Linked DNA regions of Anolis sagrei. The protein of the gene in region 2 interacts with the protein of the main gene of each other region in a pairwise test. Links are inferred from orthologs where the notes say so. Each region holds a gene or a part of one and is shown on either strand. Other genes may lie near its edges.

Region 1 (7,318 bases), on a different chromosome or scaffold from region 2:
CAAATTTTCATGATTTCCTCAAAAAGCAGTCCAGCTAAAAAAAGAAAGAAGGTAAGAAATTTGTTTCCCATAATTTAAATTTTTGACCAGGCATTTTTGACCACTAAGCAAAGTCTGCTAACTTCAGGGAATTTTAATTAAATGTTGTTGTTCATTCGTTCAGTCGTTTCCAACTCTTTGTGACCTCATGGACCATCCCACGCCAGAGCTCCCTGTCGGCCGTCACCTCCCCCAGCTCCTTCAGGGTCAAGCCAGTCACTTCAAGCATGCCATCCATCCATCTTGCCCTTGGTCATCCTCTCTTCCTTTTTCCTTCCATTTTCCCCAGCATCATTGTCTTCTCTAAGCTTTCCTATCTCCTCATGATGTGGCCAAAGTACTTCAACTTTGTCTCTAATATCCTTCCCTCCAATGAGCAGTCAGGCTTTATTTCCTGAAGTATGGACTGGTTGGATCTTTTTGCAGTCCAAGGCACTCTCAGAACTTTCATCCAGCACCACAGTTCAAAAGCGTCTATCTTCTTTCGCTAAGCCTTCCCTATGGTCCAGCTCTCACATCCATAGTTGATTACGGGGAATACCATTCTTTTAACTATGCAGATCTATCCAGATTTTGCATTATCATTTATCATTCTGAGTCCAGGAAGAACTGGAAATGCATAGAATAGAGGAAGAGTGTCATCTATTCCTTCTCCTTCTAATAGATTATTGGTGTTATTACTATTGGTCTGCAACTGTGTATATGCAATCCCAAATTTTGTCTTGTGTTATTATTCAGCCCATAACAATCCATTTACATCATCAAGTTATCTGCATATTTCCTCCCGTTGAGTGCTGGGGTTGGGCTATTAGCTTACTTTAACCAATACCAAACCTTGCTGAAATTTACTGACATTTGCTTTGTTTTTATTTTACAGAAAATTAAGTGATTATAAAGTTTCCAGAAGATATAAAATTCAAGAGGTTATCAAAGTTCAGCAATTCTTTACATGATGCTCTACTTTTGGAAATACTATGTTGTGTTCTCAGTTTCTTCTTATGAATATCCAGAATAAGTTGATACATTTTTAAATTTTTACAAGCTTTATTTATTGCATTAAAATAAAATTATGCAACTGCCTACAAATAAAAACTAAACACTCTACATAGCAACTTAACACCCACATTGGCTCTCTTCAACTTGTATTATTTTGAAGTGGGATGTCAGTGTTATTTATAAATAACAGTGTATTATTTATAAATACACTCAGTGTATTGCGAAGTTTATATATCATCATCGGCTTTGTTTGTATGCTAATTATGTAACAAAATATATATTATTTCAGATGAAGAACATTTTAAAGGACCATCATAATTCATTCTGTCTTATCTTGGAGGGGAAAATGTACTGAGGTTGGGCTGGCTGCCAAAGAGCATGACTGCCCAGTTCTGTAGCTCCTTCTTTCACTACTTAGTCAAAATAAATTAATACCCTTAAAATGGTGAAATTATTACAACAAAAATGCAGTATTGGCTGTGGGGCATAACAGAGTACCCACATACACAAAAAGATTAATATTGGAAAGCTTTCTACCTGTCACAAACACCAATTAATTGCAGCACTCGTACAAGTTTGTGGGCCTAAAGACGGCACTTGCCTCTTACAAAGCCTCTCAAGGAAGCAGAACACAAATGCGCAGTCCCAACAAAAGCTCTTTCAAAACCAAATTGCAGAAATTTGGGGCAGATTTCAAAATCTAAATCCTTTCTCGCTACTGCTCTAATACCACTGAATTAGAGCTACCACAGCTAATAAAACCCTTGATAGTATCCCCTAAAATTACTAGGACCTCCGGGATGGTGCACATGACAATCTTTACATTACAACTCAAAGTTGAGGATCTGGGAGGAATAATTTACGGTCCAAGAATGTTCCTGAGTCCGTAGAAGGCAACTACACAATGTTGGCCAGGGTTCTTAAACATTTCCACTTGGGACCACTTTTGGCCCAAGAATTGTTTACATGACCTCGGATATATTTGACATATAAGATAGGTATAAAAACCGAACATTTACTGATAACAAATCAGCATTTGTAAGTCTTGCTAAGCAGGCTGATTTTCCTTTACATGAAGTACAGCTGAAGCATTTTCTGTAGAGTCCACTGTAAAAACTGCACAATAGATCCATGTAAATATCTAAACATAGCCATAAGATGACAGTCAGGAAAAAAAATTGTGAACTGAACATTGAACTAAGGGGAGCCCATTTGGGGTCAGAGCTAGAGATGGGAAGGCCTGGGGGGGGGGGGGGAACCAGAAAAATGGGGGAAAGTATTTTTTTCAGTGTTTTCCCCAATTTTTCTGCCCTGTGACGGCGCGTCTGGCGCAACTTGTATGTAAATATATAGTTGAATTGTTTGGTTATCTACAGTTTTCTATCAATGTCGTTTTACATCGGCTAAATTGCTCCCCCAGCTCAATTGTTTGGCTCCACCCCTTCCTAGGGAGGAGGGCAGTGCTTTCTTTTTCATTCTACCACCAAACTACTCAACAGATGGACGTGAGAAAGGCTTGGCTCTAAGGCCTTAGTCAAGTCATCTTTTACCAAACATTCTTAAGTTTGTACTCTTAAGATTCATACTTCATGCCCAGCTCATCTGGATGACATTGAGGAATCTTAAGCGCCTTCAAACCAGTCCTTTGGCATCAAGAAGACGACTTTGTGCCTTCAATATAGGTCATTGGACTGGGGTTGTGAATGTTCCGACTTCACAGCCATTGAGATACAGGGAACTTGGAAGCTACTCAGCTGGAAAACTCCTTGGACCCAAGACTCCAGAGACTGTAATGTATATTTTCTTTACCTCTTTTGGAACATCAAGTTTAATGCCTTAGAAAGATAACTGCTTGTGAACAATAAAGCCTATTTTGAGTTATCTATAGTGTCTTGATTCTTGAGAGTTCCAGTTCTCTAAAGGAAGGCAAGAAGCAATCCCCTGGGGAAAAGACGTCACGTCCATGTTTCTTTCACTAAGAACTATAGCCCCCAGACAGCGACGGCATATGCCCCCTGCCTGGGCCAACTATTTTTCTTTTGTTTCCAGGTCTTCCCATCTCTAGGCAGAACTCATGGTTTAAGAAGCTATGATTTAGGCAGTCTTATCATGGTTTTCAGAACTGCGTCCCACAGAGAACTGCACCTTTAATTGCCAAGGATGTAGAGATGGCTCCTTACATGGTTGTCATGAAATCATAATTGTCATGCCTCCATGAAGATCCTCACTGTTTCCTTTATTTAAGTCCCATTTTTAGTTAGAGGGGATTCACATTTTATGTATAGTTTGTGAAGAGGCAGATAGATAGCCCCCTTTCCTTTAAGCCCCCCTCTCTCTGTCCCTTTAAGAATCCTCTTAAGGGCAGAGATTCAGGCTATACCCAGGCTTGGACAAACCAGCCCTCAAGGTGTTTTGGACTTCAACTCCCACAATTCCTAACAGCCGGTAGGAAACACTGGAAATAACACTTGGGCCCCCAACATAGGTAGGATTTCTTTCCATAAAGGGTACCTTCGAATTACGTACTATCTGGCATTCTCCCTAATTACAACTCTTTCTAAAGCAATAGGAATGTGATCAGTGACAAAACAGCCATGACTCTGACTCAGATGTTATACCGGGCATGGGCCAACTTGGGCCTTCCAGGTGTTTTGGACTCCAACTCCCACAATTCCTAACAGCCTACCGGCTGTTAGGAATTGTGGGAGTTGAAGTCCAAAACACCTGGAGGGCCCAAGTTGGCCCAGGCCTAGTGCCTGGCATCTCTAATGATAACTCTTTCTAGCAGTGGTTCTCAACCTGTGGGTACTTGGGTGTTTTGGTCTACAACTCCCAGAAATCCCAGCCAGTTTAGCAGCTGTTAGGATTTCTGGGAGTTGAAGGCCAAAACATCTTGGGGGCCCACAGGTTGAGAACCACTGTTAAAGCAATAGAATGTGATCAGTGACAAATAGAGGCATGGCTTTGTCTCAGACTTCATACTCAACCTGCAAAGAAAAGAAAGCAACTGGATTGCTGTCAGACCACCAACAAAGTGTTAGGAATGGTGGGAGTTGAAGTCCAAAGCACCTGGAGAGGCAAAGCTTGCCCAGGCCTGGATTTGGAGGCTCACAGGCCTCTCTTCCGGTTTCCCTGGCAGGCAAAGTGCCTCAGGTACCCGGAAGTGGGTGAGCAGTGTGGCTTTTCCTTCCTTCCTCCGGCCGGCAGGGGGCGCCGGCGAGGAGAGGAGAGAGGCGAGAGAGGCGGCGTGGGGCCTACTCGTCGTAGTCTCTCTCTTCCTGCTCCTGCTGCTCTTTCCGCTCGCAGCCATGGCCGACGTTGAGGACGGAGACGAGCCGGGCGTGTCGGTGGCGCCTCACGCGGGCTCCTCCGGCTCGAAGGCAGGCGGCGGCGTGGACAAGATGTTCTCCCTCAAGAAGTGGAACGCCGTGGCCATGTGGAGCTGGGACGTGGAGTGCGACACCTGCGCCATCTGCCGGGTGCAGGTCATGGGTGAGTCAGGCCTGGCTTGGTTTGGGGGCTTCTCGGCCTACGGGCACGGGCGAACTTAGGCCTGCCGCCCTTCAGGGATTTTGGGTAAGCGAGGCTCTACTGTATTTCCATGAACCTGGCCATAATTTGAAACCAACATTTAGGGCTTTGTTCTGAGTGCCTGTGGATCCCCCAGTGGCATTGTGGGTTGAGCAGCTGAACTTGGTGGTTCCAATCCAGGGAGCAGGGTGAGCTCCCGCTGTTAGCCCCAGCTTCTGCCAACTTTTGTTGTTGTTCATTCGTCCAGTCGTCTCCGACTCTTCGTGACCTCATGGACCAGCCCACGCCAGAGCTCCCTGTCGGCCGTTACCACCCCCAGCTCCCTCAAGGTCAGTCCAGTCACTTCAAGGATGCCATCCATCCATCTTGCCCTTGGGCGGCCCCTCTTCCTTTTGCCTTCCACTTTCCCCAGCATAATTGTCTTCTCTAGGCTTTGCTGTCTCCTCGTGATGTGGCCAAAGTACTTCAACTTTGTCTCTAGTATCCTTCCCTCCAGTGAGCAGCTGGGCTTTATTTCCTGGAGGATGGACTGGTTGGGTCTTCTCGCAGTCCAAGGCACTCTCAGCACTTTCCTCCAGTTCAAAAGCACCTTCGCTCAGCCTTCCCTAAGGTCCAGCTCTCACATCCGTAGGTTACTACAGGGAATACCATGGCTTTGACTAGGCGGATCTTTGTTGCCAGTCTGATGTCTCTACTCTTTACTATTTTATCGAGACTGGACGTTGCTCTCCTCCCAAGAAGTAAGTGTCTTCTGATTTCCTGGCTACAATCTGCATCTGCCAACCTAGCAGTTTGAAAACCTAGCAGTTCGAGGGAACCACTGACCGCATAAGGAAGCTGATGAGGAAACACAACATACAAACTATCTACAGACCCACCAAGAAAATCCAACAAATGCTACGTTCAGCAAAGGACAAGAGGGATCCTCTCGCTTCTGCAGGAGTCTACCGTGTACCATGCAGCTGTGGACAAGTCTACATAGGGACCACCAAACGCAGCATTGCCCACCAAAAGGTCGGTAGTTCCAATCCAGGGAGCAGGGTGTTAGCCCCAGCTTCTGCCAACCTAGCAGTTTGAAAACCTAGCAGTTCAAGGGAACCACTGACCGCATAGGGAAGCTGGTGAGGAAACACAACATACAAACTATCTACAGACCCACCAAGAAAATCCAACAATTCAGCAAAGGACAAGAGGGATCCTCTCACTTCTGCAGGAGTCTACCGTATACCATGCAGCTGTGGACAAATCTACATAAAAGGTAAAGGTAGTCCCCTGACATTAAGTCCAGTCATGTCTGACTGGGGTGTGGTGCTCATCTCCATTTCTAAGCCGAAGAGCCAGCGTTGTCCGTAGACACCTCCAAGGTCATGTGGCCGACATGACTGTATGGAGCGCCGTTACCTTCCCGCTGGAGTGGTACCTATTGATCTACTCACATTTGCATGTTTTCGAACTGCTAGGTTGGCAGAAGCTAGGGCTGACAGCGGAAGCTCACACCGCTCCCCGGAATCGAACCTGCAACCTTTCGATCAACAAGCTCAGCAGCTCAGTGCTTTAACCCACTGCGCCCCCTTTCCTTTTAGCCACCTCTCCCTGTCCCTTTAAGAATCCTCTTAAGATAGATATCTACATAAAAACTCCAACCATCACCCAAGTCAAAAAAAGAAACACCATTAAAGCCTTGGCAGACCGTGCAAAAAGAATCTGCGAACCCCACCTCCTCCAAGATGAACTGAACCACCTCAACTGGGCTTTACAGGCCAATGGATACTCCACCTCAGACATCAGAAGAGCTGCAAGACCAAGAACAAGCCACGAGAGTAAAGACAAAGACCCACCCCGAGGAAAAGTGTTCTTGCCATACATCAAGGAAACCACTGACCGCATAGGGAAGCTGATGAGGAAACACAACATACGAACTATCTACAGACCCACCAAGAAAATCCAACAAATGCTTCGTTCAGCAAAGGACAAGAGGGATCCTCTCGCTTCTGCAGGAGTCTACCGTGTACCATGCAGCTGTGGACAAGTCTACATAGGGACCACCAAACGCAGCAGTGCCCAAACACGAATCAAGGAACATGAAAGGCACTGCAGACTACTTCAACCAAAGAAGTCAGCCATAGCTGACTTTACGGCCCCGGCCCAGCGTACCTGTCCAAACGTATCTCCTTCTACGTCCCACCTCGGAATTTAAGATCGTCTGGGGAGGCCCTGCTCTCGGCCCCACCTTTATCACAAGTGAGACTGGTGGGGGCGAGGGACAAGGCCTTCTCGGTGGTGGCCCCTCGCCTGTGGAATGCACTCCCCAGGGAGATTAGGTCATCAACATCCCTCCTCTCCATCAGAAGGAAGTTAAAAACTTGGATGTGGGACCAGGCCTTCGGGTAAGCTGGCAGTGGACAAAAGACAATGACGACCAGAGTAGGAAAGGACAATGACGATGCTAGAGGGATCATGGATTTATGAATCGACGAACATTGGCCACAATATGTTTTTATTGCTGCGGCTGTATTGTTTGATTGTTTTAATTAGTTATAATTGTTGACGATATATTGTAATTTGTATGTTGTATTTTATGAATTGTCAGGCATCGAATTGTGCCTTTTGTAAGCTGCCCTGAGTCCCCCCTAGGGGGTTGAGAAGGGCGGGGTAGAAGCACGCCAAATAAATAACTAATAAATAATAAATAAATAGCAGAGCAACTGATGAACCAACCTGGACACAGCATATTATCCGAGAACACAGAAAT
Region 2 (7,849 bases):
AACTCTGTGAAAGGCTTCTCTAGAAGTCCTGCTCCACAGGTACTATTTTCAGTGGCTTTGCCCGTTATGTACCAACTAAAGGCTCTCTGTATACATACCAGAGACAGAGAACTCCCAAACCTTGGCCCCATCTATACTACCATATAATGTAATTTGAAACTGCATTACAGGGTCAGTGCAGATTCATATAATGCAGCTCAGTGCAGTGAAACAGTATTATCTGAGTTTTCACCTGGGAAAACTTGGGCTCTCCAGGTGTTTTGGACTTCAACTTCCACAATTCTGTCTTGGGCCCTTTGCTTTTCCCCCTCAGCTGCTTAAGCGGCTGAGGGGGAAAAGAAAGGGGCCTGAGGCTGTTAGGAATGATGGGAGTTGAAGTCCAAAACACCTGGAGGGCCCAAGTTTGCCCATTTTATTTTTATTTATGGTATCAAGAGCTTTTCCATCAGTTAGAAGGCATCCTGCCTTGTTCCGTTTTACTCAGGGCTCTTATTTTCTCTGCTCCCCAATTTACACTAGAGGTAACATTTGCTGGGTTTTGAGTTGTTATTTCTTGACGTCTCTGTAAAACCAGGGCCAGGAGAACATACAAGTTGATCAACCTTGTCGGTGACCAAGGAACATCCCAAAAGACCTCTTGAGTGTACGCCTTCTGCCCCCTCTTCCTCTTCCTTCCTTAGTGTCGACGTTGCCCCTAAATACAGTTTTCCAGCTCCATTCCAGAGGCCACAGCATCCCAAGGTTGGAGCACCAAGTCCGACCAGTCAAAGACGATGGCCACCTTTTGCCAGGTCTCTTTGGTCAAAGGGCAGTCCCTGATGAAATGCTCAGTGGTCTCCAGAGGCTCACTTCCAGCAACACAAGCTTGTTTCTGGCACAGAAGTCTAGGACAAACTTGTCCTTTTTCTTTCAGCCACGGTTGGTTGCCCTTCAAATAGTATATCTGATGGTATTTATTTATTTATTTGTTTGTTTGTCAAAGGCTTTCATGGCCGGAATCACTGGGTTGTAGGTTTTTTGGGCTATATGGCCATGTTCTAGAGGCATTCTCTCCTGACATTTCGCCTGCATCTATGGCAAGTATTCTCAGAGGTAGTGAGGATGCCATAGATGCAGGCAAAACGTCAGGAGAAAATGCCTCTAGAACATGGCCATATAGCCCGAAAAACCTATAAGAACCCAATTTATTTATTTATCATGTCAGGAGCAAACCAAACAGTTGTATTGCATTAAAAACAAACAAACAAAACTGAAAGTTTGCAAACTTGTTATTCTATTAAATGTCCTTTGACCAGTAGCTGGCCAGTTGGAGTGCTTCTGGTGTTGCTATAAGAAGATCCTTCATTGTGCATGTAGCAGGGCTCAGATTGATTTGTAATAGGTGGTCTGTGGTTTGCTCTTCTCCTCACTCGCATGCCGTGGACTCCACTTTGTGGCTCTGTATCTCGTGGTGCCAGAGCGCAGTCTGTTCAGCGCCAATAATAATAATATTATAAACTTTATTTATACCCCCGCCACCATCTTCCCAATGGGGACTCGGAGCGGCTTACATGAGGCCAAGCTCAAATGACAATTACAATAAAGAAAAACCAAAAACAGAAACCGAAAACGCAAATAAACAATATCATCATAGTTACATAAAACATATGAATACATAACAATATAAAAATTACAATACGCACAGGCACAGTAATAGTGGGCAGGCTACATGTCGTGATTAAAAAGACAAACTGATTAAAACTAATTAAAAACTCGGGTGAGATAATTAAACTAATTAAAAACTCGGCCTATGAGCCCACGAGGACCTTGAGATCGTCTGGGGAGGCCCTTCTCTCGATCCCGCCTGCCTCACAGGCACGCCTGGCGGGGACGAGGGATAGGGCCTTCTCGGTGGTGGCCCCCCGGCTGTGGAGCGCCCTCCCTGTAGACATCAGACAGGCGCCCTCCCTTATGACATTCCGCAAAAGACTAAAGACATGGTTATTTGAGAAGGCGTTTGACTAAGTGCTACAACAATTGGCAATGATGACTGGAACGGAATATGGATAATGAGATTGGTATATGATTCTACGATGAGACGGCGCGGATGATTTAGTGTAATTGTATTATTTGATTGCTATATTGATATTATTGTTGTGATATTCCCTTATTGTAAACTGTTTTTATATGTTGTACACCGCTGTGAGTCGCCCTAGGGCTGAGAACGGCGATCAACAAATGCAGTAAATAAATAAATAAATAAGAAGCAGGTAATTTACGGAGGAGGGCTCATTTTAACGGGAGTTGTGGAATCAAGCTTTCTGTGTGCCCAGGAGGAAGTCTCTCATTTGGTATCAGTCATGGATTGTGGTTCTGAGTTTTCGCCTGCCACTTTTGGACTCTCGTTTGCTGAGGTGTTCCTGTGAGTGTTTCTATAGTTCTCAGAAAACTATTTCTTGATTTAGGGTGTTTGCCCATGCCTGGTTTACACTGTAGAGGCGCCCAACACAATTCAGAACAGTTACACCACATTGTGTTGTTGAAGGCTGGAATCACTGGGTTGCTGCGAGTTTTTCGGGCTGTATGGCCATTTTGGAACGAATTATATGATTTGACTCTAACCCTATAATGCATTATGTGACAGTGCGGATGGGGCCTAGGGTTTGGGGAGGTTGTACGTTTCTGCTTCCTGTGTTTCGATCCGCCTTATATGGTAGTGCAAATGAGGCCTTTCTCCCTCCATGGAAAGGAGAAGAAGCAGCTTCACCTCTATGCGTACCCTTTGGCCACAAACATGAGACCGGCACGCAGCCCTTCTTCCCCTTCCCATGTCTTCCCCAAACACAGCCCCCCGGAAGCCTGAATCCCACCCCACCCGCCTCTCTTTCCCGAGGAGCAACTCCCTAAAACGACCCCCTCAGAACTCACCCCAGGGGGCAAAACTGCCTCAAGGAGAGGAAGCCGGGGCCGCAAACAAGCTTCGGACCTCTAAGGCCTCGGCCAGCTTCAACCGCGCATGCGCCACTGCCGCTGGCAGCGAAGCATCGCGGGACTGTAGTTCTTTGGCGCCAAGAAAGCGCAGGGGAACAAGGGAGGAGGGACTCCAAGCCCCAGAGTGCAACGGGAAAGGAAGCTCAAAGGCAGGGGCTAGGCCGCAGGGCGCGCTGGGAAATGGAGTCCAAATGACCTTTAAGTCCTCTCGGCTTCAAAAGATATTGGTATATTCTGAAACTACAACTCCCAACCTGCAAATGAAAGGCGCTTAAGGGCCCTTCCGCACAGCTTGATATTAAAGAATATCAAGGCAGAATATCCCACATTATCTGCCTTGAACTGGAATATATGTCACTGTGGACTCAAGAGTTCAAACTGATTTTCTGGGGACCCTTCCACACAACCCTATATCCCAGAATACCAAGGCAGAAAATCCCACATTATATGAGTGTGGACTCAGATAACCCAGTTCAAAGCAGATATTGTTACCTATCCGATCACATCTCCGCCTACAAACCCACTAGGACTTTGAGATCTTCCGGGGAGGCCCTGCTCTCGATCCCGCCTGCAACACAGGCATGGCTGGCGGGACGAGAGACAGGGCCTTCTCGGTGGTGGCCCCTCGGCTGTGGAACGCCCTTCCCACGGACATTAGATTGGCTCCCTCATTGATGGTATTCCGGAGAAAAGTGAAAACCTGGTTATTTGAACAGGGGTTTGAATAGGCAGTGCAATGAATTCAGGAAATGGAACTACGATTGACGAGTTTGGATCATGATTCTAGTTATGAGACGCCACTTGAATGTTTGCTACTGTTTAATTGTTTAGTTTGCTTCTGTGTTGATTGTTTTTAAATACCTTGTTGATGCCGCATTGAATTTTTGCTTTCATTGTTTTGCCTTGTCTTGCTTTGCTTGATTGTTGTTAACCGCTGTGAGTCGCTTTAGGGCTGAGAATAGCGGTATACAAATGAAGTAAATAAATGAATAAATAATAAATATTGTGGGATTTCCTGCATTAATATTTGGGAATATAGGGCTGTGTGGAAGGGCCCTCAGCCTCTGCAGAGGGAAAAGGAAGCCTTTGGGCCCTTCCACACAGACCTATATCCCTGAATATCAAGGCAGGAAATCCCACATTTTCTGTTTTGAACTGGAATATATGGCAGTGTGGACTTGGATAATCCAGTTCAAGGCAGGTATTGTGGAATTTTCTGCCTTGATATTCTCGGTTATATTGCTGTGTGGAAGGGCCCTGGATTATATTGCAGTGTAGACTCAGATAATCCAGTGTAACGCAGATAATGTGGATTATCTGATTTGATAATCTGGATTATATGGCAGTGTAGAAGGGGCCTAAAAGCCCTGCACTAGAACATTATTGTTTAAATCAGGGGTCCTCAGACTTTTTAAACCGAGGGCCAGGTCACAGTCCCTCAAACTGTTGGAGGGCCGGATTATAGTTTGAAAAAAATGAATGAATTCCTATGCACACTGCACACATCTTATTTGAAGTGCAAAAAAACCACTTAAAAACTATAGAATAATTAAAATGAAGAACCATTTTAACAAATATAAACTTATTAGGATTTCAATGGGAAGTGTGGGTGTGCTTTTGGCTGATGAGATAGAATTGTTGTTGTTGTTGTTGTTGTTGTGTACTTTCAAGTCGTTTCAGACTTAGGTTGACCCTGAGCGAGGGCTGGGTAAATTACCTTAGAGGGCCGTATTCGCCCCCCGGGCCTTAGTTTGAGGACCCTTGATTTAAATTGTGGGTCCTGAGCCCAACTGGGGCCCTCTGCTCAATGTTGGGGTCCAGAAAAAATCGGCTAACTCTAATCTAGTCGTTGTTTTAGGCATTTACATGAACTTTCTCTGCAATGTTTACTGTGGACTCTGCTGAAAATGCTTCAGTTGTTCTTCATAGAATGGAAAATAAGCTGGCATATGCTGATTTGTTATTATTATTTATTTTTATACCTATTTTATATACCTGAGGTCACATGATTTTTAGGGGTTAGAAAGGGGTCACAAGTGGGGAAAAGGTTGAAAGAAGCTCTACACTAGGACCTAACAAATTCTTAGGGCCCTACCACACAGCCCTATATCTCTGAATATCAAGGCAAAAAATCCCACAATACCTGCTTTGAACTGGGTTATCTGAGTCCACACTCAGATAAAGTGGGATTTTCTGCCTTGATATTCTGGGATATAGGGCTGTGTGGAAGGGCACTTAGAGAGAACATTTCTCTGAGAATCACTGTGTCCTTTATCACAAGTCTATGGTTTGAAGGGACTAGAAGTAAGGTAACACTGTGTAACAACATTTGAAACATTGTGTTTCTATGTTGTAGAAGGCTTTCATGGCCAGAATCGCCAGGTTGCTGTGAGTTTTTTGGGCTGTATGACCATGTTCCGGCTGCATTCTCTCCTAATGTTTCACCTGCATCTGTGGCTGGCATATTCAGAGGTCTGTTGGTAGTGAGGCAAGTGGAGTGTAATAATGTCCAGGATGGGAGAAATAACCCTTGTCAGTTTAAAAAACACCAGAATCAAGACAGTAAATAAGGAACACCATTCAGAAACTGGGGAGCTCCAGATACCAAACAATCATGTGCCAGTTAACACCTCCCAAATAGTGGGTGTGGTACAAAGCCCTGGTTACCTCTATGCAGATACCCCCACTGATTGACTATGCACCTTTATGGCTACCCAGTACTATTCGAGCTTGCTAACTGCAGCATTCATACTTTAAACAGACAAGTGCTCTTTCTTCCACCCTGGACATTCCACATACACTCCACTTGCCTCACTGCCAGCAGACCTCTGAAGATGCCAGCCATAGATGCAGGCAAAACGTCAGGAGAGAATGCAGCTGGAACATGGCCATACAGCCTGAAAAATATACAGCAACCAAAGCATTTACATACTTTGAAAGGAGGTGTTACACTCCAGAAACTTCCATTTTTGTGGCCGTCACAAACTGTTAAATTGATTGAGACTCAATTTTCATTGAAAAACTATCGCAAAATGTGCTGTAGGATGTCCCTGCAGTTTTTGCAGTTTAACAAACTTTTCCTATGTTTTTATGATAGAACCAATTAGGAAATGACATTTAAAACCCAGGAACAGAAATTGTGTTACACATAGGAGAAAGAACTCTTGTCTGTTTGGAGCAAGTGTGAATGTTGCAATTGGCCAGCTTGATTAGCATGGAGTAGCCTTGCTGTTTCAAAGCCTTGCTGTTGTTGCCCAGGAGCATCCTTTGTTTGTGAGGTGTTAGCTGGCACTTGATTGCTTGATGTCTGGAGTTCCCCTGTTTTTGAGTGGTGTTCCTTATTTACTGTCTTGATTTGGGTGTTTTTTTTTAATACTGGTAACAAGATTTTGTTCATTATCATTGTTTTCTCCTTTCTGTTGAAGTTGCCCACATATTTGGGGATTTCAGTGACTTCTCTGTGTAGTCTGACATGGTTGTTGTTATTGTTATTATTATATTTATACCCTGCTTTAACTCCTCAAAGGAGACTCAGAGTGGTTCAGCAGAGTGGTTGTCAGAGTGGCCCACCATTTGTGTGTTCTCAAATACAGTATTATCCTGTGTCCAGGTTGGTTCATCAAATGCTCTGCTATAGCTGACTTCTCTGCTTGAATTTATTCATTCATTTATTTGCACTATTTATATTCCGCCCTTCTCACCCCGCAGGGGACTCAGGGCGGATTACAGTGTATACATATATGGCAAACATTCAATGCCAGTTTTGGCATACAACGTATCTGAAGAAGTACTTCCGCATTCCCTGCATGCTTTTGCTGGAGTGTTTTTGCTGGAGTCTTTTTTATGGCCTCATAAATTAGTTAATTTAGCCTCCCCACACAAGGTGGTACCTAAGTTTCCTACTTGACAGATGCAACTGTCTTTCAGGTTGCAAAGGTTGACAACAGGCTACACAACTGGTTGGAAGCCCACTCCAACCCGGGCTGGCTTCGAACTCATGACCTTTTTTGGTCAGAGTGATCTGAATGCAGCTGACACTTGGCCAGCTGCGCCACAATCCCGGTGAATGGCTTTCATGATCTTCGATTCATGTCTGGGCAATGCTGTGTTTGGCAGTCCCTATGTAGACTCATCCACAGCTGCACAGTCTATGGTAAAATCTCATTAAAATATCTTTTAAAAGAGATTTTAAGGATTTAATATTTTTGAACTATTTGGATTATATTATATCTTATTGTTTTTTAGAGTTTGTCCATGATTTGTTTATATATTACTGTCAGCATCGAATGTTTGTCACTGTGTTTATTTTGCTGTAAGCCACCCTGAGTCCCTTCAGGGACATAGTTTAATTTCATTTCATTTCACCTGCAGTGGTTAGAGGATCCCTCTTATCCTTCGCTGAATGTATCATTTGTTGCATTTTCTTGGTGGGTCTGTAGATTGCTTTTAGGTTGTGTTTCTTCATCAGCTTCCCTATGTGGCCAGTGGTTCCCTTGATGTATGGTAAGAATACTTTTCCTCTGCGTGGATCTTTGTATTTACTTTCATGGCTTGTTCTTGGTCTTGCAGCTCTTCTGATGTCTGTCGTAGACATCTCCTAGAGCAGGGGTCCTCAAACTTTTTAAACAGAGGGCCAGGTCACAGTCCCTCAAACTGTTGGAGGGCCGGATTATAATTTAAGAAAAACATGAATGAATTTCTATGCACACTGCACATATCATATTTGTAGTGCAAAAACACTTTAAAAGAATACAGTAATTAAAATGAAGAACAATTTTAACAAATATAAACTTTTAAGTATTTCAATGGGAAGTGTGGGCCTGCTTTTGGCTGATGAGATAGGATTGTTGTTATTGTTGTTGTGTGCTTTCAAGTCGTT

What was found.
Region 1: the proteins of CSNK2B (region 2) and RNF7 interact in a two-hybrid assay, tested with the Homo sapiens proteins (2 studies listed by BioGRID). The link is inferred for Anolis sagrei from reciprocal best matches to the Homo sapiens genes CSNK2B and RNF7.

The regions. Positions count from the first base shown.
Region 1 is NC_090023.1:236,793,522-236,800,839, forward strand, and holds the start of RNF7 (RING-box protein 2), read left to right. Parts: upstream 1-4,250; 5' UTR 4,251-4,343; coding exon 4,344-4,527; intron 4,528-7,318. Other genes in the region: uncharacterized protein, read left to right, coding at 1-51, 917-928. UniProt on the Homo sapiens protein: Catalytic component of multiple cullin-5-RING E3 ubiquitin-protein ligase complexes (ECS complexes), which mediate the ubiquitination and subsequent proteasomal degradation of target proteins.
Region 2 is NC_090022.1:19,659,916-19,667,764, reverse strand, and holds the start of CSNK2B (casein kinase II subunit beta), read right to left. Parts: upstream 3,018-7,849; 5' UTR 2,908-3,017; intron 1-2,907. UniProt on the Homo sapiens protein: Regulatory subunit of casein kinase II/CK2.